Linked DNA regions of Astyanax mexicanus. The main gene of each other region encodes a partner of the protein of the gene in region 2 in a complex. Links are inferred from orthologs where the notes say so. Each region holds a gene or a part of one and is shown on either strand. Other genes may lie near its edges. The genes, in order: orc5, orc3, orc2 and orc4.

Region 1 (6,890 bases), on a different chromosome or scaffold from region 2:
TTCACGTCCCAAAATTGTACTTTCTACAGTACTGATAAACCTGCATGTAATCATTACTGACCTACAAGAGGTCAATTCACGTTAAAAGTGTTTTTTCTGGAGTACAGTGTGTATTATATAGTGTGTGTAGGTCTGATTTACTCACAATGTACCGGGTCTGCTGGGCCGGTTTCTGAGCGCAGAACTGCCTGTAGATCCGAACGAAGTCTGAGAGAGAGGGAGAGCGAGGGAGCAGAGTGGCCGACTCGGAACCAAACATCGCTAACAGAACCTGCTCAAACAGCAGCCCTGCAGATACACACTCCACACAGCTCACCGCTGCATGAGGAACCTATACACACACAATTACACACATACAGTAATTTAACATTTAAAGAAAAAATCAGTTAAAGAAAAAATATTTTTGGCAGGGGAAACATTTTGGGGGATTTTTTTGCACTTTCCAAATACAAAGTCTTAGAATGTATGTATATAATATTAATTCATGTTTACATAGTAGGGGCATGCTGTATCGTATCACAGGCAATGATATTGCAAAAAAGATTGACACAATAAAAAAAATCCTTTTATTTAATCCTCTATTTTTTAAAACGCAGATCCGTTTTGTATTTGTTTTGCTATTTACTGAATTTACTCTTAACTGTATGTTTGCAGTTTATATATGCACTAAATATCTTGTCTAGTTTTGTGGTTATATTATTTTTGCTACATTTTTATTTTGTTACACTATTGTTAGTTTATTACTGTTTACAAAATAGAGAAACATTTCTATATATTTTTTGTTTTTACTGAAGGTATGAAACCGTTATATTTATACAAAAAATGTTTATTAATATATTCTTGAAATTTATATTTTTTTATTTCCGTGTTTTGTTGTTTTCCCTAGAATATAATCATCACATAAATACCACAAAATAACTTTTTCTTAAACATTTTTTAAACAGCTATATCAACCACCCCCACTGCACAGTACCTCCAGTTCTTTCAGCAGGGTGAGGATCACATGGCTCTTCCCCGTGGCTCGGTGGCCATAGATAAAGATGGAGGGGAAGCAGTACTGCTCCGGCTGTACATAGGGAAAAAATGGACAAATTCAAAGATGTTTTCATGACACTGAAACATAAACAGGTTTGAGAAACACTGAATGAATGTCTGATCTATGAAAGAGAAAGGATGATATCATAAAAGATGGGAAACTATAAAACAGATAAGACAAACCTCCCCCATTAGAGCCAGCAGCGTTCCTGCCTGTCCCTCTCTACAGGGAAGCCGTTCGCTCACAGAGCTTAGTTTGGCTTCAGGATAGCCGGGACACTGCAGTCCAGCCAGCATCCTCCTCAATCTGAGAGAGACAGAGTCAACATCAATCAACATGCAAAACTTATCCTTACACACAGCCCTAGTTCTAGACTGCTTTTCTGATAAGCCAGAGCTGATGATACTGGCTAAAATTGACGTATGATACTGGCTAAAATTTCATGTGTCTTCAACAGAAAACAACGCATTAAAGGGTTTCCTACAGTGTATATACAGCATATTTAACGAACATTTATAAAAAACAACATCTAGGGTCATATAGACTACAAAGGAACACATAAGGAAACTTACAATAAATGGAAAATGTTAAACAACCCACAATACTCTGTGACGCATTTAGGTATCTGGGGATGGTAACTCTGATAACCTTATCCTGTGTGCAACAGAGCTAACTCTTGGTCTTGCTTCTCTGAGACAACCCTGATAAGAGTCAGTTTCATCATAATGCTTTAATGGTCTTTGTGACTGCACTTGAGGATACTTTTAAAGTTCTTAAAATTGTTCAAATCAACTTACTTTTATTTCCTAAAGTCATTTTTTACTTAGTTGAGTAGTTCTTGCTATAATATGGATTAGAACATTACTCAAATACAGCTATTTACTGTATACCATTTCTACCTCTTCACAACTTTACAACTGATGCTCTCAAACACATTTAGAGGCAAGAAATTGTTATTAACTCTTGAAAAGGCACAGCTACTTTAAATAATCTATTCTGTTTCTTAACACTTTATTTGTTCACTATATAATTCCGTTAGCTTTTCCTTATAGTTTGGATGACTTTTGTATTATGTACAAACAACAAAAGTGAAGGAAACCAAAGAAAATACGACTTTTTATATATATATATATATATATATATATATATATATATATATATATATATTTTTTTTTTTTTTTTTTTTTTTTTGTGCATTAAACAACCTGAACTCACTGTTCAGCACAAACGTGTAAGTGGAAATTAATAAGAATAAATACTTGAATTATTAATTTTAAAAAATACAAAAGCAGTTTGTATTTACCTCTTATTGGGATAACGTTACCATAACACAGTGATTTATGCTATCCATATATTAGCTAGCTACATCTACTGGGACTTTACTGGTAATATGTTCTAATACGGTGTTTCTTTTGTATTTTTACAGTTAAATATACACTAGGGTAGCACGGTTTGTCAAGGTAGCACAACTCGACAGAACACCGGTCTGGGGCTGGAGGTTTCAGCAATAGGATGACAGTTTAAGAAGAGAATCATTTAAAACACGTATATTTTCTGTTAAATAAAGTAATTGATATAACTTATATACGTTCTGTTTATACACTACAACACCACCTATCTCCATCTAAAATCAGTAACATAAATATATGTGTGTGTATATTTAGTAATATTATGGGATAGAAGCTCGTGTTGTTGTATGTTGTGCTGGTATGAACAGCGCGGTTATTTAAGTTATATAGTTTAATAAAGTTCTGCTACACTTATAGCCTTTCTACAGATCAAAGAAAAAAAACAGATTACTTACTTTATAAACACTCAGCCAGAAACCCCAACACACACTCATTCACACAGGATCCACACGCTGCTTCACTTTCCCGCGAAGGTGACGTCACATCCGCAAGCTGGGAGTTGTAGTTTTTAGACGCGGAGATTTGTAGTAGCGAGTTTCAATCGCTTGTTTCTGTATATTTCTAAATAACAATGTATTTATTGTGAACACGTGTTTGAGTTGGCCTAGGTAAGGTCATTTTAATTCTACTGTAGTTTTCGATTTTTTAAATTAGCAAAAACTATAATTGAATTTCAAAATTAAAATATGTATATGATTAAATGGTTCAATTTAAACTACTTTACCCGAGTATTAAGAAGATTTTGGGTGTAAAACAGCACCTTAGCAACACCTATTCAACCACTTAGCAACACCAAATTGGCCACCTCTAATACCACAGCAACCACCTTGCAATTTTTTAACAAATCCCTAGGAACATTACAGCATCCACCTAGCAACATCATAAGAACCACTTAACCACACCTTAGCAACCACCTGGGATACAATAAAGGATGTTAGCTGTGCAGCCATCCTGCGCTCTATTTTCTTGTTTTATTTACTTTAAAAAACCCACAAGTGAACCTGCACTCGTTTAAAAAGGTTAATTACGGTAAAATTGTGGGAAATCAGAAGAAATAAACTTTTTTTGAGGGACTTCTTTGTCCCAGAACGACATGTATTTTTTGCTCATAAGAATGTCAACAACTTATTTGACTTTTAAAGACCCAATTTAGACAAAACAAGGATTGTAAAGGAACGCTTACTGGTTTGGAAATACAAATAACATTTAATCAATTATGAAACGTGTATAATCAAAAATGATTTGGTCTGTTATTTAATATAAATGCACACATTGGAATACAGACATTAACTTTGCTCTGAAAGACATATTTTATATATGTTGTTTCAAGGTGTAACGGAAGCAGTGTGTGTAAGTGTGAAGGGCGCAGTTAGAAGGGGCAGTGGGGAACATTCCTTTTTATCCCATGGTGCACCGCTGGCTCACTCTATGAGCTAGACTTGTGGTATATACCTGTAATGGATGTTTAAATGTTACAGTAGGCTACCTCCCATGAAGCTAGTTTACTTCAGTTTCAGTCACTCCGCCGGGTTTTTACACTGTTACACTGAAGTTAGTGTCACTCTCTGAGCACTTTATGTGCTGTAAGCGAACAGTACACCCTATAAATAAACGAACCTCCCTTCTTTCTGGTACATGCCACAATATTATTTAAAAATAATTATATTTTCGCTTATTTTCCACTATTTTTACGTGTCGGACCACTAATACAATAACTGATTTAAAAATTGCCCCACCGTGCTTTGTGTTCGCTAAATCAGTGCGCGGTGTTTCGCAATGGAACGCGACCATAATTTTAAGCGCACTACTTAGGGCACCGGGGGGCGTATTGGAACGCGCCCGAGCGTGCAGTTCTGACCTGCTGTGAGCGCTGTTGAGCTGCAACTGCTGCTGCTGCTGAGTGTGTGCGTGTGTGTATGTGTGTGTGTGCTGTATGCTCTCCCTGTCATCTCGGCGCGCGTGCTTCAGTGCTTCAGTCCAGGACACATTTTAGAGAGAGAGAGAGAGAGAGAGACAGAGAAACATAGAGGTGTATATATACAGACAGAGGTAGAGCGAGTTAGAGAGATAGACAGAGGGAGAGAGAGAGACGGTGTGTGTTTCTGACCAGAGATGGGCTCCAGAGGCTGCAGAAGCTCATCATCTTCTTCATTGCTGCAGCCTGGAAGATGCTATTTTTCACCACGTGAATAATGAATGGGGCACTCATGGCTGACCACTCTGCATTTTAATGCTGTTTTCAGGGATTCATCTGTCATTTTTGGCTGAGATGAGAGCAGGCTGCTGTGGGAGCGGTGGTGCTTTGCTGTTGAAGAATCTGTAGAGCAACAAGGATGCAGGTATGGACGTGGAAATTTGTATAATTGTGCCTGTATGTATGCATTTATCTGCTTATATCTGTTTATACATATAGTAAAAGAATGCATTTTATATTTATAGACTATGCTTCATTACAGGATTTCTGGACATGATATGAGATGTTTGAGGCATGATGGTGTGAATGAGAAAACAAACACCAACCCCTTGATTTATTTGCAACCGATAAGCAAAAAGAAGAAAGAAAACAACCCGAATCAAAATCAGTTAATGCACCGAATCATACTAGTGACACCTGATTATACCACAAGCTTCCACGACACGATTCCACCAAGTCTACCCCAGCTTCTGGTGCTGTGCAGCTCCAGCTCCACGAGGTCTGCATCCAGGCGATGGTCCCTGGAACACCAGCAGCCATGCTCCCCGCTTCAGAAGCCGCTAAAATCTACCAGACCAACTACGTGAGGAACTCCCGAGCCATTGGAGTTCTCTGGGCCATCTTCACCATTCTCTTCGCCATCGTCAACGTGGTCTGCTTCATCCAGCCCTACTGGATTGGCGACGGGGTGGACACCCCCCAGGCCGGCTACTTCGGCCTCTTCCACTACTGCATCGGAAACGGACTGTCACGAGACCTCAAGTGCTACGGCAGCTTCACCAACTTCAGCTCCATCCCTTCGGGTGCCTTCAAGGCTGCTTCCTTCTTCATCTGCACCTCTATGGTCCTGGTGCTCACCTGCATCGCCTGCTTCGCCCTCTTCTTCTTCTGCAGCACTGCCACCGTCTACAAGATCTGCGGGTGGATGCAGCTGGCGGCAGGTGAGCAGCAACGTTTAGTGGGTGATGGGGTTGTGCGGTTGTTAAGATTCAAGCAATATGGGACAAAGGTAGTCTGTCATAATCCACCATGGGGATTGCTGGTTCAAATCCTTGGCCATGCTCTCTCTGGGTGGGTACAACAGGTGGCGCTCTCTCCCCTTATCACTCCCATTGTGATGCTGGTTGGTACAGGCATCTGTCAGCTAATGTATCAGAGCTGGGTATCTGGCACTTTCCTTCACGTGCGCTGTGATGCTGCACATTGATTGGTGGCAGTTGGAAAAGAGGCGGAGACTGACTTCACACATATTGGATGAGGCATGCACTAGTCTTCACCCTCCTAGTGTTTGTAGCATTACTTATAGGAGTAGTTCTAATGAGAAGTTGGGGATGTTGGTCCTCCCAATTGGGGAGAAAACTGGGATGCAATTAGAAATAAAATGATATAGATATAAAAAAGATTAGAGCGATAGTTAGGCTATCCCCACATTAAGGTCTTGTGTCTAAAGTTTACTTATTTAGTTTGTATGGGACCCAGTAGGTTTATGTGGATTCACTTTATGAAGAATAACAGTCATAATTGCATTTTTTACTTAAGCATTTTGCAGCCTTAGTTCATCCGTTAGAGCTAAAGTATACCCATACCCATCTCATACTCATCCATATTCCTACCAATCCACACCCATCTATACCATACCCACTCATTTCTAAATGTTTGCATACCCATTCATATCCAAAATTACCCATACCCATAAATATATTCATACATTATCATCAACCCATCAATACCCATCCATACCAATCAGTAACATACTGGAACATTTACCCATACCCATAAATTCATATTTAACAGTACATACATACCATCCATCCATTTCCATGAATATTCATCTACATCCATCAACACTACAGTATACCCCTTCTTCCCCAACCACACCTATCTATTCATATTCACCTGCAGCCCCAACCATTATTATCCATATACACCCATTGCTATAGACTCCCATTCCCATCCATTTCAATCTATGACCATCTTTTTTATACCCACTCACCCATGCCCATTCATAACCATCCATAATTTCAGCTATGCGCACCCATATGTAAAAGTCAGATTTTGTGTGGTTTCTGCTTCTGAATTCTTTAGTAAATCTGATGTAGCTTAGCTCATTATTTCCAGAGCGGATTATAACCATATTTTCATTAGAGACACACCATTTATACATTTTTATGGTCATTCAGATTTTTTTTACAATATAATTCACTGCTGGACATTTTTATTAGCCTTATATTAATCTGAACCTCACACTCTG
Region 2 (8,014 bases):
GCAACAGAAGTATTAATACTCTTAAACAATCACATAATTAGGTGGTTCTACCGATGCACACAAGATAAATGTTTTAAAAACAAAAAATACATGGTCAATTTCCCCAGAAAGGCATTAAGCCTAGTTTTAGACTTAATTCCTTTCAAGGGTATATTTCCAAACAAAATGCTGTGTGGTCCAAGACCAGGCACAATCCCTATCCAGGAAACCAACCCATAGGGTTCTAAACTTTTGTATTTACAATTATTCACAGAAAATGACCAAGGTAAAAACTACGCATTTTTGACACTGAAATATCAAGACTATACCAAATATAGACTTAGACTTTACTGGCATAAAAGTAAACTCTACTTAAAATTAAAAAATATATCTTTACATACCAAGCACCAAAGCAGCTGTAGGAATCTCACTGGCTCTCATATGAGATGTCCAGTCATCCGTTCTGGACTGGAAGCTTGAGGTACACCTTTTGATGAAATCTAAAAGGCTGTCCAGTATTTTTGTATTTAGCTCCTCTTGCAATACCTGTTTAAAAGGAAAAACACATATCAAAATCTTATACTCTATAGCATTACCTAAATCTTATATATTACTATTCCACATGAGAAAAACACCACACACCTCTGTGTCCATTTTAATCTTCTCCCAAAGAGTTTGACAGATGTTGAAACGTTCTCTGCCATTCCCACAGTCATCACTTCCATCTGTGAAATACTCATCTGTACAATGAACATGATGAAGGATATGAGGCAAATACTTCAGATCAAAGGTGAATAAATAGTTACAGTAGTATGAGCTAATCATATTATCCTTTACTCACCAATAGCAACAGTGCGCTTTCTCTTCTTAGAACCAGGCTTGAAGACAAAGCATCCCTAAATATGCATTAAAATAAGTAAGAAAACAAATGATAAGTGACGGCCTGGATGATGTATTGTTCCAGCAGTAACTGTGAAAATGATATCACCATCATTTTACTGCTTGGACTAATTGCTCACCCTCCACTATTAACTATTTCAACTTTAGCTAGCAATGTTTGAATCGATTTCATTGCTGTGGTGGAAATTCACCTGAACATATCAGAACTTGAACGTGAATGTACAATGACTTTTTATCATTTAATTATAAGTATTATGAGCCTTTGATCCTCCCAAGATTTCTTCCTCCAGCTCTGAGGGAGATATTCCCTGCCACTGTCGCTCACTGGGGATTGTATTTTCTATGTTTTGTCTGATTTTCTATCCTGTTTGTATAGGGATGTCGTTATTGGTGCACTGGCTATTGTACGACTGAAGTATTGATGAAGTTGTACTTGTGTAAACAAGCACACAACTAAATACAATGGGCAAAACTACGATAAAAAAAAAAATAGACAAGTACAAGTCATATGTCTAATTAGTTGATAATTGTTGGGACATGCCTAGCCATACACTATTCATCTTTTTTAAGATGGCGCAGCAGCATATTTACTTTATAGGGAAAACGTTTTATCTCCGAACTTCCTTAAAACTACTACTGCTGCACTATCAAGAGCATCCTAACCACCTGTGAGCCAGTATGGTCCAGCAGCTTCACTGTTGCTCACAGTGGCCCTGCATATGGTGGTAAGAAATAAATCAGGGCATCATTGGCATACAAGTGAAATAAAGTTTATAGGGTTTACAGAAAGTGTGCGACAAATCTTAAAACAAAATTAGGCAGGTGCCAATTAAGGTGGCCAATTGCAATTTTTTCTCCTTTTTGCATCTTTTCTGAAGAGCGGCAACATGGGAGACTCAAAACTACTCTCAAATAACCTGAAAACAAAGATTGTTCAACATCATGGTTTAGAGGAAGGATACAAAAAGCTATCTCAGATTTCAGCTGTCAGTTTCCACTGTGAGAAACATGGTGAGAAAATGAAAGATCACATGCACAGTTCTAGTTAAAACCTGAAGTGGCAGTCCAAGAAAAATCTCAGATAAAAAGAGGTGAAGGATGGTAAAAACAGCCATAGTCAACCCACAAACCATCAAACCTGACTGAACTGGAGATGTTTTGTAAAGAAGAATGGTCCAAAATACTTTCAACCAGAAGCCAGACTCTCATTGGAAGCTATAGGAAGCGTTCAGAGGCTGTTATTTATGCAAAAGGGGGATTTACTAAATATTGCCCAAATTTATGCACCTGCTTAATTTAGTTTAAAGAATTATCACACACTCTGTAAATTCAATAAGCTTCATTTCACTTATCTGTTCTTCTGCTATATGATATATTTAACTAAAATTGCTTATCCAAACAACCAATGATTTATAAAAAACATGAAAATTATCAGGGGTGCCCAAACTTTTTCATACTACTGTAAATATTCACCCCAGCACTGTGTTTCTCCCTATTCAGCCCAACACGGTATAAACTTCTTCCATCTGTGAAGATACAGGAGCACCCATGCAAGTACAACACTTCACCTGAATAAGAAACGTGTCTAGAATGAAAACCTAGGTTTATTGTTTTGATATTTTTGTACACTTTTAGTAATCAGAAGACCTGAAATTACAGCTCCTCTGCAAGAGGTTTAACTTTAAGTAGCAAAACTCAGTGTATTGAACATAAAGCCAGCTAATAGCTAGCTAATAATGTTGAAGGTTTATAAGAACGCGTGGAGGAAACTGGAGTTCAATGTGCATATCTTCTGCGAGACACGCGGCTGAGCTTTATCTAACTCTTCAATTCCACCTTAAATTCTGCAGAAGTTATACATTCTGACGCTGCACGGTTTAAGGTGGATCGGGAATCTGGTAAGTGAAGTACTCAAGACCCGCTTTAGAAACCAGTACACCCTGTCCGGATACATGTCTGAGAAACCCAGTATGTTTTACACGCTATATCTACTATTTTAACCTTTTCCTGAACCTCATAAACCGGTTATTTACCTTAGAGACTGAAGAAGTGCTCATCTTCCTTACAGCAGGCTGAGCTGGAAACAAGTCGCAACTTCCGGTTAGATTTCCCGCGCTAATGACGTCAGAGACAAACTGCACGCTTAATGGTCTTTAGAAGTGGAAACTGCTGTAACACAATAAAAATTAGGTCACGGGGTATATTAGATTGTGATTCTCGTTATACAGAGGTTATAGAGAGATTGTTGAAGAAAACCTTGGTCACTCCCTTGTAAGTTTTCTATTTACATTAAAATCTGCATAATGCCTACCCATGTAATTATAATCTTGCTAAATTTATAAATATAGATCAGAACTGTTCATTTTGCCCCAAACATCCAGAAAAACTAGAACATTTTTAAGGTTTTTATTTACAATATTTTTGGAAAGCTCTAGCTAAATATTTTTCTAATAAAGCGAATTACATGGTAGATATAAAATGTAAAGATGTAATTTTTGGTTTTGACTGTAAGGTCAACTTGTTGAATTTTATTTGTTTATTGAGTCTCTTAACTGCCTTAGAAACCAAAAAAAGCTGTGTCCACTATAAAGCACATGAAGAAGTTAAATTGGCTGGTTGATGAATCATCTCCTCATGATTTATACCCTCAGTTGATAAGATGATTTGATTCTATCCCTTTAGGATACTGGTCTATGTCAAGAGTGTGAGCTAAGCCAGTTATTTTGACCTAATTAAAATGACTAAATATAATGAGATAAATACAACTTTTTTATTTAATTTGCAATTGCAATAGCTTTCCAAGACTAGAACACATTTGCACATTTGAGGGCTTGTCCTCAATCGATTAGTGAGGTGATTTTTATTATATTATAAAGTTGACTTGTTATTAATAAAGGCAGCAGGCTATAAATATTGCATAATTGTCTTGTATGATCATTGAGTTTTATTGAGTTTATTTATTAAATTTTACTTGGCAAAATGCTCTACAATTGTTTTTGTCATTTCAATCCTACTTTCTAAAATTTTGGATTAGGAATGTTTCTAGTTGGTTTTACTGCTCGACTGTATGATAAACATCTTATATATCCTCTTAAACCATTGCTCATTTTTATTTAGCCATAACTCTCGTATGAGTTGTCCTTATGCTGTTGCATGTGAAAAAAAGCAGACTAGATTTCTGTCAATAATACATTTAAAGGCAGTTAAATTAACTCACACATTTTTTTTATTTCTCACAATGTATTTAATAGGTGGATTAAAAAAGGTAAAATTTTATTTCTTGCAATAAATCTAAGGGTGGGTTGGAGAACACATTTTTAATATAAAATAAGTAGCCGTGTTGAATTTCCCTGTTGTTTATATAAGGTTTTAGAGAAAATTCTATTTTTATTTGTACAATAGTTTATTTTTGCTCGTACGCTTAAACTCACTAATTTCTGTTAATAGTTTTTAGTTGGAGAAAGGTGATTGGTTCAGTTGCCTGTCAGTCAAAAGCCTGAGTAGTGGGCGGGACATAGAAACAGTTGGGAGCAGCAGGGAGGGAGAGCAGCTACAATCCTGCCCAAAACATGCACAAAATGTGGATAATGGACAGTTAAACCACCTCTGTGGCACTTTAAAGCATCTTTAATAAGGTAGATTGTGTGTGTATATATATATATATATATATATATATATATATATATATATATATATATATATATATATATATGCCTCCTCAACCTAAAAAAATTTAGACTTGAAGCTAGTCAAACCTGCAGGTAAGGATATTAGGTTGCATAGCATCCATGCTAGCTAGCTAGCTCAGCAGGACTAAAGTAAAACGTGTAGCTGCTAAGCTAGGCCTAATAGTGTAAATGCACGGACAGGGTTTTTGGAGAGCAGCACAGAGCTAGAGCACAGAGATATATTATTCCCAATTAAGCTACGCAAGTGCATCTCAAGATATTTCACAATATATATATACTACAGATATCCTACAGATGAAATAAAAGCAAAAACGATGTAAAAAAAAAAAAGCAATATAATAGTAATAATATTATGAATGAGGATTGCTTTTTATTTGTCATTTTTCCCCTCATGTTCTCTTATTGTACTAAGCTTTGACATCCTTTATTGACTGGAGTCTTGTCATCCATATATATTTTACATATTACATGGTTCTATCAATCAAAAACTCTGAAAGCCTTCTACTTAAAAACACCTCCTTTATTTAATAATTAATGTATGAAAAATTGGAAGAAGGAAACGCTAAAAATGCATTCAGCTCATTATATTCCACTGGGTGGCGCTGTGAGTATCCCAAATCAAAATGCAACCCAGTCACAGTCAAACATATCAAGCTCCACTATGTTTCAGTTACTTTTGGGAAGCTTTAAGTATTATTTTGTGTCTGTATTATTTCACTGCACGTCATCCACATACTATGGCTTCCAAAGATGATCAGGCAGAGCTGATGATCCCAAAAAAACAGGATTCCTTTTCAGAATTTCTGCTGTAGAAATCTGTTATTCTGAATGTCTAAAGTTTAAAACTTTCCATTAATAATTATGTTTTTGCTCAAATCAACTTTCCTTATTTTATCGCATGTGAGCCTTACCTGGAATCCAACATCAAAACACTTAAAAGCATGATCTCAGTCACTCACTGAAAAGGTCAGTACAAACCTCCAACATGAGATTACTATGTTTGATAGTCACTTTCACCCTTTATCAGCCATATTAAATTATTCTGTTGAGAGATTTGGAAGAGTTATTATAAAGTGTTTTTATACCTTTCTCATCATTCAAAGGAAAGTTAAGACATTTTTTAAAATATTCAAATTATCATTTCTCCTATAATGGCCATTGATAAGGGACTCTATTGTGGTGTCTGTCTAAAATCCTTGAAAAATGGGCTTAGGGATTTCCCTGACCCTACAAAATATGGACATAATCGCAATAATTCTTGCAACTTATGCACTATTGCCTATTGTGCTTACTTCACAAGAAGAGACTATTAAAATGAACAAGCCAGTATGTTGACTTTCATGTTGATGTTTTATTTAATGTATGCTTTATTAATTTAGAATTTTCATTCTTTTTAATATTTCAATGTCTCCTCTATGCAATGTGTGCTGTGTTATAAGATGGTACTAAAACGACAAATTGTTTACAATTATCTTTAGGATAATACACTGTCCAATAAAAAATAGTCATGACGGGCTAAAGAGAACAGTTAATATTTGATTAACTGCTTTGAAGTTGATGTTCTAAGAATACATACAAGGCTCAGACCTTGTTTTATTTGATCTGTTAACCACATTAGACTGCATTTTATATTTCACCCAACGTTAGTGTCACACTGTCCTGTAATCCAACTTTATTTGAAGTAAGACTGAGGTGTTAAACTTGACTGAAACAACAGACACAGCATTACAGAAAGCATCCAGGTTACTTTTATTGAATATCATGTGGAAGACATATACAGAACTATACACTACAGTGAAGTAAAAAATAAATATATACTTAAAAAACAAAAAAAGATCCCATGGGGATATATCAAAACATTTCAGCATGTGTGTAAAATATTAACTTTAGCAAACGCTAATCTTTAAAAGGGAATTAACGTCATAAATACAAATGTTTCTACAGAACATTTAAAACCTAAATGCACATGGTATTTCAATTCAAGTCCATATTTTGTATAACAATGTCTTTTTTCTTTCGGTCTCCCAAGATCAAATTAATTAATGCTTTTAAAACCACAGATAAAATGTCCTCTGGTGTACCTGTCTGCAGCATGTAATGTTATCTTGTCCTGAGTGCAAAGCTTTTAAGAATGACGGAGACTCGAGTCTCGAACCCAGTCATCAACTGCACAGCCACCTCTTTAAAATGACCATAGGCCGCATGTCCTGAATTTGTTTCAGCAAAAGATCAGCACCACTGGAGAAGTGTTCATCTATAACAATCTTGACGTTGTTCACTGACTCCAGATTAAGAGGATTTCTGAAACAAGTAAAATGTTGGTCTCCTTTTACCTCACGGCCGGCAGAGTTTTTGCGGATAACCTTGGCATGTTGCTGCCGGGGTTTTTCCTGGGGTTTCAATGGCAACCGAGTCCAATACCTTTTACGTGATTTTCTCTTCAACGGTTTTGTGGAAGGAGACTCCTCAAACAGCTTAAGGACTGATGCCTCCAGTCCTGAAGGACTGAAAAGCTTTTGTGCGACACCACTCTCTGCTTGCTCCTCTCGACGGGCAGGTGGAGTTTTTGACTTATCTTTAGTTTTATATGATCTTGAAAGCTTTGCAAAACGTTTCCTAGCAACACCAAAGTTTCGAAGACTTTGTTTTCGTTCTGGATTGAATTTTAGCATCTGTTCTGACTTCCGTGGACGTCCCCTTTTGGGTTTAACTTCTGGAACTGATACGGCTGAACTTTTCTCATTAGCCACCACGTCAGCATGAGGAGGCTCTGAATTCTGTGACTTTGAATTTGGATTAGTCAACGAATTCTCTGCAGGACTTTCTGCAGGTTTAGTCTTTTCAACCTCAGTGGGGGCCGCTGAAGAAGCATCATTTGACTTATTTACATCTTTAAGTCGTAGTCGTGAATACTTCTTGCAAAGTATGAACTGGCTCCTCTGATCCTCAATGTATCGCTCTGTGAGACCATGGGTAGTGTAATGTTTAAATACAAGCCGCTCTGAACTTGAGACTGAGTCACAGCCCACAATCATACAAGGATACTGCAGGGGAAACTTTGCAGTACACATGGCTGACGCTTCATCCATGGACTTGAGTGAGGGCTCTCCAAAGCTTGTCCAGTGGTTCTGTAATTTTACATCCTTTTTCTTGGGTGTTTTCTTTTTCAGCTTGACTTTGTTACTTGCAATATTCTCTTTTCCATTGTTGGGACTTCCGCCGAGCGCTTTTGTCGGTACATTTTGCCCCTCGTCCTTTTTCTGTTTCTGTTTAATGGTTTCGAAATTTGCGTTGTGTTTTTTCATGAGATGTCGCAGAAGATTTGACTTGGTGGTATAAACCCTGTCACAGCCCTCCCATTCACACCTGAATGTAAGGTCCACACTCTCAAAGTCTCCATCTGCTGAGACACGTATTGCTTTGTGGTCATTCTTAATGTGATCAAT
Region 3 (6,994 bases), on a different chromosome or scaffold from region 2:
AAAAGCTTAAAAGTTTAAACTGTTTATTACTCTTGATTTCAGAAGAAACTCACAAACACAGTCATTCTCATATATGAAGGTTCCAATTTACCTTTTGAGGAGTTTTGTTTTGACTGGCAACTTCTGTAGTGGGAAGAATAAACAGTAGGATTATTATACATTATAAGCCTATGATGGATGGATTGTTTGAATGAATGTATAGACATGTACCACACTTTCTTATTCAATGTATTTCATTATTTATTTATTTTGTACATTGTTGATTAATATTAAAGACATGAAAACACATATGGGATTACGTAATAAAAAAAAAATTTAAAAAAAGAAAAAGTGTTTGTCCTCCACAATCCCCTGACCTGTTCAACTGAGATGGTGATTTAAGGTGATTTGGAATGAGCTGAGCTTCACAGTGTGAAGAAAAAAAAGCTTAAAATACCAAGATTAAAAAAAGATTAAAATATCAAGAGTGTGCAGATCTGTCCAAAAGCTAAATGTGCTACTTTAAAGAATTTTCATTATTAAACATATTCTGCTTTTTGTTTTCAGTATAATTCTGAATGTGACCTTAGCTTTCATATTGTCTTTAATATTACCTTTACAATGTAAAAACAAAAAGCATATAAAAACACTAAATGAGAAGAGCTCTGTCCAAACGTCTGACTGGTACTGTAAACAGATAGATAAATAATGATATGATTACTAACTCTGGCTTGCCCGGGTTGGGCTGGCTGCCTCCTCTGGACTCCCAGGGGTACGAAATGTGACACTTTTGCCAGGAGTGCGTGCCCACTCTGAAGCTAAATTGAGAGAGATAAAAAGAGAAATGTATAGCGAGGTATAGTGTACAACATTTACAAGCATCTTAAAATCATCAGACTAATAATTTAACTCTAGCTTAATTTACTTTAAAATATGTAAAAAAAAAATAAATAAAAAAAATCTGACACAAAATCAAAATCTTTTATTAACTCACCCATCTGAGCCATTTTATTGGAGCGTTTGATGGTCTGGAAGGTGAACACTGAGGCTCCTGCTGTGGCCGACCCATTCTCATCTCCAGCTGTGTAACAGGATACACAAACAAAACAGCAACAATGTTTAAACACAGTATGGAAACATCACCGATATTACAGCCAAAAAATGACTTTTTCAATCAGTTTAAAGTTCTTTAATAATATTGAGAATTGTTCAGTGTTCTCTTGGCAATTTTTGTTTGTGTGACAAAAAATTCTACCTTCTGCTCCATAACCAAGCGACTCCACATAGTTTTGCTTGTTAAAAACTCCCTCCTCTTCTTCCTCTTCCTCCCCTTCTGCAGAGTCTGTCGTTTTCTTTCTGAGACTCTTCAGGCTCACTAGAGTTTGTGCAGAACTTCTGAGTGCTCTAGACCCTAAAATACAATTAGAATAGAGAGAGTAAAAACCTGAACCAAAACGTTTCAAGCCATATACACAACAGGACCAGATACTTGAATCTCCAGAAATGTAGTGCATCATTATCAATCCATTTACATTTTTCTAATAGAGTTGCTTATTTATTCTCAAGAACAATTGGACAACTGGTCACGATCATTACCACCCAATGCACTGTGCTGTCCACTGTGGGCAGTAATGCCTTTTATGATGTATACCCAGTACACACGACAATGTCCATTAAGAAATAGAATGGGATTTAACACCCAGAAAACAGAGATGTGTGTCAATCTCAGCACCTTCATGTTTCTCGACAATGTGGTCTAGCACATCTTCATCTCCTACGAATTGGACTTCCAAAACTCCAGGACCTGCAGTGCGTTTCTGTGGACTCATTTTGGACCTGAGAGAGAGAGAGAGAAAAAAAGTCAAAATGTTTTTTGGTGGATGAGATACACAAGAAATTATTATTTTTTAAACCAATAACAAGCTCAAAGTCAACTGACAAGCAAAAACAAGTAGGTAGATGCATGGAAATGCATGAATTCCAGTTGTTGCTGAAAATCTCTCTTTAATATTCATTCATTCATTTACACAGAATTTATTTTGCAATCTGTTTACCTATTCTACCTATTCGTTCGTGCTCTTCAGTCGACTTATGACTTAATTTCAAGAACTAGCTAAAAGGTACTGTGTGCATAAACACTGTCTTTTTATATAAACTACCTGTGCACTTTCAAAATTCTCAGAGCCTTGTTTTAAATGTCAGGACACTTGGAATTCTACCAATGATATGTGTGGGCTACTTTGAGCTTTTAAATGGAGTAAAAATAGTTTTTTCTTTCCATTAGCAATTCTATGCCCTTATCGCTACCATTGTGAGACTGTTGGGAGCACTGGATAAAAGCCCTGTATTTTGGAATGCTGGGGGAGATTGGAGGTCGGCACTTTGACAAAAGTGTGAACTTGTCATCATGTTTCACTACAACACAAACCATTTTACACTGGAGTTCCCTTTAAATAAATAACCTGAATAAATGAAAAGAGTGTGAGTTTTAGTTCTGTTTCAGTAAAAGTACAAAAAAACTGACTCATCAAGTAAAAAGTACTTTGAGCAATATTATTTTCAGGAACAGGTTCAGCTAAAAGTTTTAATTGTCCAGTACTTAAGAACATTCACAATAAATAACTTTTATAAGTTTTGTACAAGTAGCAATATAAGTTTTATAAGTTTTATTCACATTCAAATAACACTTTACCAAGAGTACATTAAATTTGACTCAAGTCCATCAGGTCTGTGCAGCTCTAAACCTAAATCTCCACTCTCTTCTGCAGGAGTTTAGTGGAGCAGAAACAGAACTGCTGCTACAGAACCGGCTGCACTGCGGCCAAACTCACCCCGAAAACAGCAGAACTTCCTCCAGAAGCAGCGGGTTTAAGACCCCTCCGCGCGCTGTTTCTCCGCTGAGAACAGTCTGTATTAATATTCCCTCAGAAAAAGCGCTTTACATTAAACTGCACCACATTTTACAGCCCCGCAGCCCCGCAGCGACTCCTTAACCCGCTCCGATTCCGCGCCACCACAAAAATATTCACACCACGTGGGCGGAAGTGCCGTGACGCCACAGCCTGCAGCCCAGGGCTGTGTCTCATTCAGTCCCATTCACCAGCTGTCCTCTATCCTGTGCACTACTACACTACTTAGTGCACTTTTACACTATGTAGTGCACTATTATACTATGTAGTGCACTATTAGACTATGAGGGGACTTTTATACTATGTATCCGAAATTGTGCTTTTAGCCTACCGAAAGCATATATATATATATATATATATTAGTAGAACTTTATCAATTATCAAGTACTATAATATATTAAAATGGCAAATCATTTCACAATAAAACTTAATTCTGGTATGCTTTTATATATCTTAAAATAATGACATAGTATCTCATAATAATGACGCAGTATCTCAAAATAATCTTGTAGCATATAATAATATCTCATTATTTTTGGGGTACATATTTTTGGGATACTTCACTATCTATGAAACTATGTAGTTCACTAGTATACTATGTAGTGCACTAATGCACTGTATGGTTCACTTTTACACTATGTAATGCACTAGTACACTAGGCAGTGCACTATTACTCTATGCAGTGCACTTTTATAATATGTAGTGCACTATTATACTATGCAGTGCACATTTATACTTTGTATCATCTTAAAATATTTGTCATTGTTTTGAGATACTATCTCATTATTTAGAGATATTATTGGGTTTATTTTTATGAAATACTATGTGGTTATTTTGAGATACTAAGTCACTATTTTAAGATAGTATGTCCTTATTTTGGGATACTTTCTTCTTTTTTGAGATACTAAGAAATTATGTAGATTCTCTCATTGTTTTGAGATGCTATCACTTTATTTTTTTAAGATCTATGAAATCATACCAGAATTAAATTTTATTGTGAAATTATTTGCTTTACTAATATATAAAAGTATTTGATAATTGATACAGTTCTACTGAAACAATATTTCACTTGCAAAAGCAAATTTCAAATATGTCTGGGTAAAATGTCCATGCTAACAGACCAACGACTCTAGTTGTCATATCAGTAAACAGTTTTTTCACAAGTACAGAAATTCAGTTTTCTGTATACAGAAAACACTTTAAATGCAGGATGAATCTCAGAAAGATGGGATAGGATTGGAAGTATCAATGTTCAGCAGCCCATCCATCTCTACCACACTGCAAGGACAATTTTCTAAGCAGCCACTGTGCTCAATTTTTGAATCTGTAACAGGATAGGGGTCTGTAAGTTTGGCCTACACTGTGGAAATTATAGGAATCTAACTGTCTGGCTGCTCCATGGCTTATCAATACAGAGCAGAGCCGAGATTTGCCACTCAGGCCTGTGCCGCACTCCTCCTCAGTCCTCCGTAAAATGTCATGCGATAATGGCCTGAACATTTTCAATCAGACCAACACATGGAGCTTTGTCTGCAAATGTCACTGACCAGAACCGAAAGATCAAATTCAGCCGTTCCAGAATGAAAGCACTTTAAAAAGCAAAGCGGCGAGAAAAGGAAACTTTATCACAGCCTTGACTGCTTGAAAGGAAGTAGTGTTGCTGTCTGAGACTGTGCATTTATATGGTGACTAAAGGAGCTGGTATAGAATACTCTCTTCAAAGCTTTAGATATTGTGCAGACCGTGGCTAGAAACTGAGTAAATGCAGCCTGGAGAGCACAGGCAGTAGGGGCAGCGGGGCACAGTGCTTCCTATCCCATTGTGCACTGCTGGCTCAAACTATGAGTTAGACTTGTGGGTATAACTGTAATTACTGTTCAGAATGTGAAAAGAGTGTTTAGTTGTTGACTGTTACACCCTATTGTAATGTTTACACCAAGCTCTGGTAATTTTAGGAAAGGTTTTTCTAACCTACTCTGATTGCTGTTTGCAAGCAGTAAGTTGTTAATAAAGAGCTTCCTTAAGGCCAAGTAATGCTGCCTGTTTGGATTCCTTCTCATGTACGCCACAAAATCTTCATAAATAATTTTTTTTAAAGTAACAATTGGAAAAAGGGTTGCACCAAAAAGACTGCAAGTCAGATTGCAATTACAAATTGCAAATACAATTCAGTGGGAAGATATGGGTAATATATCTTGGCTTGGAATTGTAGAGGTTCCTAATGGTGTCCAATCCATTCCATGCAGCTCAAATATTCACACCAATCCAACAGATTTTGCGGTAGATAGAACCACAGATAGAAGACAGATAGAACTTTGTGTTAGAATGATTTACTGAGACCCAAATAGATAGAAGTGCTAATCAATTTTATAATACTACTGCCTTTACCACTGATGATGAGAGTTGATGTCAAAGAATAGATGGAATTCAGAGATTCTGACATCCTGCTTTAAATAGAACAGTTTTTACTAAGAGATTAACAAAAAACAGTCATGTAAATAAGATTGATCAAATTTCATTCATGTTTAGCAAGCTTGTCCAAAAGCAGGCACTGTTAGTACTTTTGGTGCTTTGTATTAATGACACTGTGTGTCCTTGTTATTGTGGATTTAGGTTAAAATAACATTGTATAAATTGACTGTGTTAAGGAATTAATATTTCTTACATAATATTTTCAAATTATCCAAATCTTAAGGCTTTCAGATAGTCTAAAATTGCAGGAGCTGGAACCAAAATACATTTTCTCATCAGTTCTACTTAAGCCTTCAGTTTAGTTTTCCTTTGTTGTGCTTAATTTCTTTATTTTCTGTTTGTTCAGCTCCTGGCCTGCTTTGCTGTTGCTTTTGGTTTGATCCTAAACCAAAAAAAGATCTCTTAAAATGGATTTTTTGGCTGATAAATGCTGGATTTGGCATCTGTCTATATATCTATTGGGAATGCAACACCTTCCTTTCAAGCCATAACGTTCTGGGAAAGGATCATTGAATAAGAAACACCATTGTGGGCTCTCTGAATGTGGGCTTTGTTTTTATGCCACCAACGGCTGTAACTCTCCAGCGAGAATTGAACCTATGACCCTCTGCTCATAGGTCCAGCCGCAGCCCATACTGTTTGCTCCAGGCACTCCTTATGAACAGTAAGGAATCATCTGTTTTTCGAGAGGGTCCAGTTACGCACCGGCTGAGAGCAGATGGCTCTTTCAGACTCTGTCTGGAGCGTTTCCAGATACATGCCGCCACCAGCAGAGCGCAGAGCACCCCATGAGCTCATTTCAACACTGTGCTGCACTGAGCTGCATTTGAAACAGCTACAAACTCATCGCCAGTCAAATCAAAGACTCATGGAGATAAAACATGAGGATACTAATACAGCAGAATTAATTAAGGTCAAAATGCCTTAATGACTATATTTCTTAGCAATGGCATAGAAAAATCACCTCAGGTTCTCTAAGTGAGATTACACACTGGTCAGTGTGCTCATGGCAAGGAGACATTTATTAAGTTTGAGGGGGGCATGATGGTAGTGCCAGATGGATGGAAAATCCCATTTCCCAAAGCTGCATGGGCATTTATCATTCCTCTAGCCTCGGTGTCCTGTGAGCACTGGTGAATCATAGAGGAAATTACCACCCACAGTGGACAGGGCAGTGAGAGGCAATGATCGTAACTGGTGATGTCTGGTTAGAATTGTCCTTCACTTAAATAGAAGACTCAGAAATTTCATACACATTCAATGAGGAAAGTCCCACACACTTATCCCACAGGTCACTGCCATGTTTTTAGCTTTATGGGACATGACAAAAGTCATGGCACACAACACTAGATAAAATGATGTGGCATTTCAGTGTATATTCTTTAAACCTAAATAAGGTTCTTAACACATTTACGTTGCACACTAACAAAAATGACTCTCTAAAGCTGGGGTTCTCAAACAAATGCCCCCAGATTAATTTATCCTTCTATGCAAACTGCAAAATGCAGAGACATTTAAAAATGTGGACCATCTAGGAGTTTCTGATGACAAGATTTGAGAAGCACTGTTCCAAAGAATCATGTTTAAAAAAAACTACTCAATGCAACAAATGTAAACCATTTTAACCATATAAA
Region 4 (7,656 bases), on a different chromosome or scaffold from region 2:
ACGTGGGCCCACGATGAGAACGGAGTTACTTTCACCATGAACTGCTGTTCTTCTCAACAGCTCCAGTAGGTGCCTAAATACCCCCAAAAGACACACACAAAAACTTCTTACTTATACAACACGCAAACAAAGAAAAGATCACACTCACATCTTCTGTTAATGACAGCTTACAAACACAATTTTATTTATTAAATTTAACACATAAACAACCCACTTGTACTGCGAGTCCAATCCATAAGGTTTGTCAGGAAGCTTCTGGTGACAAAATCGCTCCCTCATTATTCTTTGGACCTGTAATAAGTAAAAAGCCATGTATGTGTCACTTGAAACAAACAGCATAGGACATGTTAAGATACATTTAAAACACTTATGCAGCATCTAATTGAATATCAGGTAGAAATCTATAAGTTCTGTAATCCTGTATAATTGGATAATGCACATCAATTTATAAAAATCACTGCACTATGCATTACAGGAGACAATCGCTTTGAAATGGACCTGGGTTGTAGTGAAACATGGTAATGCGTACAAACGTTTGTTGAATAGCCCACCTTCATTCATCCCCATCAGTTAGCGCTGTTAACTGATGCTCCCAACAGGCTTACAATGCTAGCAATATGGGGCATAGCTTTGTCCATGCAAGTAAATCTCTATTTTTATACCATTAACAAGCTCAGGATAGTTCCAAACAGTTCAAATATTAAACAGTGCATGAATATGTAAACATTTGGCCTTCCAGATTTCCTTATTTGTTAAATAATGAGTATTTCAATGTAAATAAAATATTTAAATTAAGAGATTTCAGGTCACTGCCACTCACGCTGCCTTAAAGGTACATCTGCTCATAGAAATATGATACATCAGTGATCTGGATCTTTTCCACCTGATTCTGATCCTTAGAAAATTATGTGATCTACTCGTTCCCTGGGGACATCCCTAAATATGTTTTATTATGATTAATTTTCTTCTATCTGTAAATAGCAGTTACAAAACAGCAACCTAAAGTTATTTTTTTATTAACTATAAAACTCTTTTAAAGATATATGGTGTCTAGTCACGTATGACCTTAACTTTTTCTGATACAGTGATTTAGCCTATCCACATATCCTACATAGGCTTCTGCTGTATTTTTACCTTTTCAAAAAATAAATACTACTAGTAGCACCGTTTGACAAGGTAGCACAACTCGACAAAACACTGATATTAAAGCAAAAAAAAAAACAATACATTTTTTAACTAGTCATCTTGGCTGGACTAACCTGAGATACGCATTCACCAACAGGCAAACTGGCGTCTTTCGACTTACGCTTGCTCATGATTCTGGAAAAGAAAGAAAGACAAGTTAAAGCTGCACGTTAGGGGACGATAAACCTGGTAAAATAAGATTTTATACGACTATCTGTAAAACTGCTGTCGATATTAGAGGTTGGTAACCCAAGTCCAGAAAGTAAAAATCCATCCCAGGGGGCCAGTTGTTCAGAGGAAATCTGATCGGATTTTGGTTATCGGATTGGATCAAATCTGGAAAACGGGTTGTTCAAAAGGGAAAGAAGCATTCTGAAATCGGATCAGATCACGTAATCCAATCCTAGTTTGTAAATGGATCAAACCTTCAGTTTCTGTTGTTCAAAACTTTTCAGTAGGATTTGGATAACTTTGATCCAAAAAAACAGGATTACCCTGATCCCAACAAGGGGTAGGATTTCAAGGGGGATTTCAGGAAGTAAATGTGGTAAAACTTTAAAATCAAAGTTTTAAAGTAAAAAAAAAATACATTTGTACAATTTAGTGTATATACATTTACTTCTATTTTGCACTTGACCTGTTTAACCGTTACAGTAATAAAGTAGACATTGGCTACCAATTAAGCCTTTTACTATAGTAACGTAAAAATAAAAACAATCTTGACCCCATTAAATAAACCCCCCAAAAGATTTCAATAACAAACAAAAATAATATATTCATTTTTTCATCTACGTCACTGTCATTCATCACTGTATATTAATGTCAAAGAAACATTTATCAGATATGAAGCTGTCAAAAATAATTTCGAACAATTGAAAAGAACACCAGAGTTTGTTCTGGTTCTTCAACAGGCTCAGGTGCATCATGAACATCACAGAGAGGGACATTGCGTCTGGTAGCAACATTGGGCAGGACAATACATGCAAGTGTTATGTTGCATGCTCCCTGTGGTTCGACTCGCAAATAGTTAAGGCATGCAAAGCGTCTCTGCAGAATGCTCAATTGCTCGTATTGTTTTGCAATAAGCAGTATCTTGTTACTGCAAGAAAAGGAGTCATCAACCCCTGTTGGTTCTTCTATCTGTTTTTTACATAGCTGGTAATCCGGATTAGGTAATCCTGAAAACTGTGTTTCTGGATCAGGTTGATCCAATCCAATATTGCTTTGAAAAACTGACTTAAAAGTAAGACAGATCACCTGATCCTGGATAGCAAAAAATGTGATTACCAAATCTGGATAATTTTGATCCGGATTACATTTTTTGAACAACTGGCCCAGGGTTTTAAACGGACTACCTGGAAGGCTCTGTGTATAGTTCAGCTGCAGCAGAGCCGCCCAGCCAGTTAGTACATAACCCTGGGATGGATTTATCTTTCTGGACCTGGGTTACCCACCACTTAAAAGCAGAATACAGCTGCTTGCTCTTCGATCTCTCGAAATGTCGAACTCTCTGTTCCACCTTAACTGCTGCGTTGGTTACACTCTGGAGCCAACACGTGCGCCCATAGGAAACTGCTGGATCATTTAAGGTGGACCAGAGAGTTCGACAAAGCGAACAGTGAAGCAAATGTTTAGCTTCGACAGCAGCCTCGCACTCACCGCCGAACTACTAAAAGAGAATAACAGCGACCCTAAAGCTCTACTTACCTGTTTCTGACAGCCTTTAACCGTAAAAAGACTTAAAATAGAGAAAAATAAATCTCCGCGGATCACAACAGAACCGATTTCGCGCCAGTTCTGCAAACAGCAGGCGGAACCGGAGCTGCAGAATACAGATGGGTTTCCGGGTTACACTAGATATTAATATATTTCTAATATTACCTGTATTTAATAACAATATATATTATTAATAATAACTAATGTTAATATTTCATGTTTAACTATAAATATCACCGTCTCAATGTTTGTTGTTTTTTCCTGAATAATATTATATTAATATAAATCTTATTAACTATTAACTATATCTCCAAATAAATATTGTAAATTCCTGTTTAAGGATGTATGTTTTCCTATTTTTGGGAATGCATAATTAATTAACCTGTGTACATGTCCCTAGCTCAACATGTTGATATTTAGGACTGGTGGATTAAAAAATCAGGTCACATTTTTAAACTTTTCAGTATAGTGCTAGAGTGCTGATCTATGATCTGCTTAGGGTCAATAAAACCATAGTAAATAACAGAAAATCATGGATGAAACCACATGTTCTTAATATTTTTGTTAATTCTCTGATTAATATTGCACGCCTCTATTTTGAGGATTTCTATTTAAAGAGTACATAAAAAGGTTTCATGAAAACGTTACTGAAAACCCTAGTTGTAATTTTAATAAAAATATTTTTAAAATGTGTAAATCTGCAAGTATATATATAATTGGCGTTTTCCTGAGCAAATTAAACATTTCATGTCCTTCAACCTTTTGTTTGGTGTGGTTGACTAGTTTTATGTCAAAGCATTTGGGGTTGATTCCTGTTACTTATTTGAGATTATTAAGTGGAGTAGAGATTGAACAGACAACTTGCCCAAGTCTCCTGTAGGAGTCTGTGTAGCCCTCACTGTTTTCAGAATGTAAATAACTAATTTAATTGCAGAAAAAAGGATTTGGTATCACCTACACTTGTAGCTTGTAAATGGGCCAAGGCGGCAAGGCCCGTTAAGGGTTTAATTTCCAAAAACAACAAAATATAACAAGGACATGCAAGATAAATTATAACAAACAGTCATACATCAAACTAAACAAAATATTTAAAATATTATAAAATAACAAATTAAACTCCTTTAATAATTTATAGTGGATACAGCTTTTTTGTTGCTAAGACAATTTAGAGACGCCATAAATAAATCTAATTCAGCAAGAAATACTATAAAAAATGGATGTCAAGGGACATTACCAAATTTTAATTTGTGCAGACATCATAGTTAAAGCCAGACATCATAGTTAAATGAGACATCATAGTTAAAAACAAAAATAACATCTTTATATCCACGCTGTAATTAGCTTTATTGGAAAAACATTTAGCTAGATAGATATTTTCACAAAAATCTGAAAAACAACATTTATAAAATAAATGTACAAAATAAACAATTTGTTGAGATTATGGGTAGATATAATGCAGACTTTTTAAATGTACTTCTGTGAATTATTATTATAAATACAAAACATAAGGAAATTACCAGCTTTTCTCCACAATATCTCTGTATGAATAAAAAAAGGCCTATTCGGAAAGGCATAATGCACACAAGCCCACATTTTGCTTATGGACCCAGCTCTCAGTTCTGTCTGTCTATGCTATTTCATTAAGGCCATGGGGATTCATAAAGTCCCTTTTGATATCAGATTTCGGCCTAACACAATAACTACATTATCAGATTATTGTATAATATATGAAAATAACATCAGTAATTTTTGCTGACCTGTGATATTGTACATTATGCTTTTTCTTAGGAAGTAGAGCAAATTAATATGTCAAAATAAGGCTCTTAAAATCTTAAAATAACATTATCATTTATTGTAATAATTCTGGGGCAATATATCATCCATTATTTAGTTTTTTTTAATGATGTCTCAAAATTCTTAATGAATAAAAGTTATTTGGTCTTAAAAAGGGTGTAACTTAATTATTATGCTACTAAATTGTTACATTTTGAAAGTGTTAAATTATTATTATTATTATTATTATTATTATGATGATTATTATTATTATTATTATTATATTATGAAAGTGTCAAAATAAAATTATTATTGTTTATTGCAATAATTACTGTGACTATATATATATATATATATATATATATATATATATATATATATATATCACCCATTATTTAGGATTTTCTCAAATTCTTATTGATTAAAAGTTCACTGATCTTTTAAATGGTGTAACTTCATTATTATGCTATTAATAGTAATAATAACAATAATATAAATATTATTAAAAATAATAATAAATATTAATATTAATATTATTGTTGTTGTTGTTGTTGTTGTTGTTGTTGTTGTTGTTGTTGTTGTTGTTGTTGTTGTTGTTGTTGTTGTTGGTGGTGGTGGTGGTGGTGGTGGTGGTGGTGGTATTATTTAACATTATTATAAAAATGTAATTAAAACATTTAAAAAAATTAAAAAGGCTCCTAAAATAACACTATTATCATTTATTGCAATCATTCTTGAGACAGTATATCACATATAATGTGATACAGATTTTGGCCATATTGTCTAGCCCTTGTGAATAGTATACAATATACACAAATCAGAAAAAAAAACGTGTCCCTGTTGCTCCACGCTCCACACACCAGCCATCCACCCATCCACCTCCTCCAGCCCTCCTGCTCTGCTGGTGTGTATACGTGTGTGCGTATGCGTGTGTGCGTATGCGTGTTTGTGTGCGTGTGTGTATGCGCGTGTGTTTGTGTGTGAGAAGAGAGGGGCCCGGTGCATTGTGGTCCTGTAGCAGCTGTCTGAGCGTCCTGATGGGGGCGCAGCGGGGCCGAGCTCCATCTTCTAACCCCGAGCAGGCAGCCCGGAGAGAGGCAGCAGAGCAGAGGCAGCGGATGGGGCAGCTTTTTTATTTCTCTTTTTAAAGGGACAGAGTCGATTTGAGACGAGCCTTAAAAACGGACTTTTCCATCGCCGTCGACCTCTCGGGGACTTCAAACCGACGGCAGCGATGCGCTGGACGGCTGTTAGGAGATAGAAAATCCGGGGAGAGGGATCTGAGAGCCTCTCCTCCTCCTCCTCTTCTCCTCTATCTCTCTCTCTACCCTATCTCTCCTCTCGTCTCTCCGTTTCTTCTGCTCTCACTACACTGGCTAGCTGTTAGCTACCTACCCCCCTTTCGCTAGCATTAGCTAGCTAGTTAGCTGTTAGCTCGCTCCCCCTGCCTCCTCCTCCTCCGCTTGGCCTCTCTGCTTTTGAGACGTTTCTCTGGATACTTTGAACCAGCCTCGTAGACACGTATTTACACTAACTTGGCTGTTTTCGCGGCGTTAAGCGGAATAACAAGGTACGTATATGTTTAAAGTTATTTTTGTTATATTTAATGTTGCCCAATATGTAGCTTAACTGTGTATGTATTATTTCCCCCTTCTGTCTCTCTCTCTCTCTCCTTCTCTCTCTTCGTTCCTCTCTCTCTCATGGGTCAGGCCACCCAGCTAGCAGTTAGCTAAGATAGCTACCTAGGCTAGCATAATGAACGTTAGCCAGCCAGTAAGCTGGGCTAGCTAGCTAGTTAGCGTTAGCTATCCACAGCAGCCGTAGCCGTAGCAGCAGCACTTCGCCTTATTTGTTGTAGCTGCTGCTGCTGTCGGTGTCGACTTCTTTCTCCAACCTACATCCAGCTGACTTTCTTCTTGTTTTCCCCACATTATTGTCACATCCAGCTAGACCCCTGTTTCACCCTCCGTCGTGTTAAACGGCCCCGAAAGCGAAGCCTGGTGTACTTTTTTTCTGGTGCTTGTATTTATTCCCCTATGGTCATGTTAGCTCAGCTAGCACAGCCTAGCTAACCTGAAAGCTTTAGCGTTAGCAAACCTAACCAGATAGCAGCTGGGCCAGTGTAGTAGTTGAAAGCTAGCTAAGAAGCTAACTAAGCTCATAGGCTTTATACTAGTCTGCCAGCTAACTATGGTTAGCTGATTGCCTGAATTGGGTTTGTTTTTTTAACCTAATTATTATTAATTTTACAATTTTAAGCCCTGCTGTCAGCTGCGAATACCCAAGCCACTCTTAGCTCAGAGTATCTGCGACTGTTTTAGGGCATCTAGCTATTACACGGTTACACTAACTACATAACATAGCTATCTCTTATCTAGGTTATATTTTGTAGGTATCAGCGTATGGTTTATGAGGGGGGAAAGCTGGCTAGCTAGGAACGATACAGCTTGTTCACTAGCTAGTATTTATTGAAGCCAGTCAACAACAGCCTGCCAGATCACTTCACCTAGCCAGCTAATCAAAGTGGACTGTTTTTCTGTGATCCTGTCTTTAAAAAAGAACAATATTAGCTGTCTAGGTTAGATTAAAAGGTAACACTCAAACAATCACTTTATCTATATCTGGACCAGATTTTGTCTGTGATGCAGTACGTAGCCATGGCTTCCTTAATCCTGTCAGAGTACATGTATGTATACTCCCATTTTAGAAGGAGATATTCTGTAAAATAATACGAATACTAAAAACTATCTAGTTTTAAATTGACAGTCTATTAAAGCTGTCACCAAGGTGTATAGATGAAGTGCAGTTTGGTTTGTAGGCCCTGTTGCTGCTGTCAGTATGTGGTAGAAAGTAGCCTGTTAGTTTGTGGCTTTTATGTAAAAAATACTTGGTCTTGGTTAGATTAGGAGACAACACTTCATCTATGCACATTTGTGAATCACTTGATTTAATATCTGGACCAGTCCATTCATTTATTCAAGA

Evidence for each region.
Region 1: the proteins of orc3 (region 2) and orc5 are in contact, whole or in part, in a cryo-EM structure (PDB 7JPO), measured with the Homo sapiens proteins. The link is inferred for Astyanax mexicanus from reciprocal best matches to the Homo sapiens genes ORC3 and ORC5. Residues at the interface, in NP_036513.2 of Homo sapiens: Glu99, Val109, Met144, Lys145, Leu148, His178, Ser180, Met181, Asp182, Glu223, Asp232, Ile235, Ile236, Gln239, His240, Ala253, Thr254, Ser255, Pro256, Ile257, Ile258, Ile259, Arg261, His265, Ser269, Cys272, Ile273, Glu274, Leu275, Ser280; in NP_002544.1 of Homo sapiens: Asn62, Val64, Glu65, Phe67, Thr68, Arg70, Leu71, Gln75, Tyr129, Leu270, Arg271, Ser274, Ser275, Ser276, Gln277, Leu294, His297, Thr298, His299, Val300, Glu301, Leu302, Pro303, Tyr304, Tyr305, Ser306, Asp360, Tyr367, Arg373, Pro376.
Region 3: the proteins of orc3 (region 2) and orc2 are in contact, whole or in part, in a cryo-EM structure (PDB 7JPO), measured with the Homo sapiens proteins. The link is inferred for Astyanax mexicanus from reciprocal best matches to the Homo sapiens genes ORC3 and ORC2. Residues at the interface, in NP_036513.2 of Homo sapiens: Thr3, Ser4, Ser5, Met6, Ser7, Lys8, Gly9, Cys10, Phe11, Val12, Phe13, Lys14, Pro15, Arg20, Ile22, Ile26, Tyr29, Phe30, Lys32, Tyr47, Val111, Thr112, Lys139, Asp318, Lys326, Gln329, Leu330, Leu333, Tyr337, Glu589; in NP_006181.1 of Homo sapiens: Leu239, Glu242, Tyr243, Ala246, His247, Asp268, Arg273, Leu276, Val279, Ser280, Phe283, Glu286, Leu287, Leu290, Lys296, Leu297, His299, Lys300, Met302, Leu303, Gln304, His306, Leu307, Phe309, Tyr314, Gly315, Leu316, Arg320, Glu324, Arg327.
Region 4: the proteins of orc3 (region 2) and orc4 are in contact, whole or in part, in a cryo-EM structure (PDB 7JPO), measured with the Homo sapiens proteins. The link is inferred for Astyanax mexicanus from reciprocal best matches to the Homo sapiens genes ORC3 and ORC4. Residues at the interface, in NP_036513.2 of Homo sapiens: Thr227, His260, Arg261, Leu262, Leu263, Pro264, His265, Ala266, Ser269; in NP_001177808.1 of Homo sapiens: Pro370, Lys374, Glu377, Gln381, Ser392, Gly393, Asn394, Ser395, Gln396, Arg397.

What each region holds. Positions count from the first base shown.
Region 1 is NC_064409.1:24,354,586-24,361,475, reverse strand, and holds the start of orc5 (origin recognition complex subunit 5), read right to left. Parts: upstream 3,003-6,890; 5' UTR 2,841-3,002; intron 1,343-2,840; 5' UTR 1,333-1,342; coding exon 1,219-1,332; intron 1,067-1,218; coding exon 974-1,066; intron 332-973; coding exon 146-331; intron 1-145. Other genes in the region: lhfpl3 (LHFPL tetraspan subfamily member 3 protein), read left to right, coding at 5,154-5,580. UniProt on the Homo sapiens protein: Component of the origin recognition complex (ORC) that binds origins of replication. DNA-binding is ATP-dependent. The specific DNA sequences that define origins of replication have not been identified yet.
Region 2 is NC_064421.1:15,887,427-15,895,440, reverse strand, and holds the start of orc3 (origin recognition complex subunit 3), read right to left. Parts: upstream 3,015-8,014; 5' UTR 2,937-3,014; coding exon 2,913-2,936; intron 876-2,912; coding exon 821-875; intron 720-820; coding exon 622-719; intron 526-621; coding exon 381-525; intron 1-380. Other genes in the region: znf292a (zinc finger protein 292a), read right to left, coding at 6,731-8,014. UniProt on the Homo sapiens protein: Component of the origin recognition complex (ORC) that binds origins of replication. DNA-binding is ATP-dependent. The specific DNA sequences that define origins of replication have not been identified yet.
Region 3 is NC_064423.1:30,253,298-30,260,291, forward strand, and holds the start of orc2 (origin recognition complex subunit 2), read right to left. Parts: upstream 3,010-6,994; 5' UTR 2,811-3,009; intron 1,816-2,810; 5' UTR 1,809-1,815; coding exon 1,712-1,808; intron 1,391-1,711; coding exon 1,235-1,390; intron 1,061-1,234; coding exon 974-1,060; intron 798-973; coding exon 705-797; intron 124-704; coding exon 92-123; intron 1-91. UniProt on the Homo sapiens protein: Component of the origin recognition complex (ORC) that binds origins of replication. DNA-binding is ATP-dependent. The specific DNA sequences that define origins of replication have not been identified yet.
Region 4 is NC_064412.1:33,931,721-33,939,376, reverse strand, and holds the start of orc4 (origin recognition complex subunit 4), read right to left. Parts: upstream 3,020-7,656; 5' UTR 2,893-3,019; intron 1,321-2,892; 5' UTR 1,317-1,320; coding exon 1,260-1,316; intron 292-1,259; coding exon 215-291; intron 74-214; coding exon 1-73. UniProt on the Homo sapiens protein: Component of the origin recognition complex (ORC) that binds origins of replication. DNA-binding is ATP-dependent. The specific DNA sequences that define origins of replication have not been identified yet.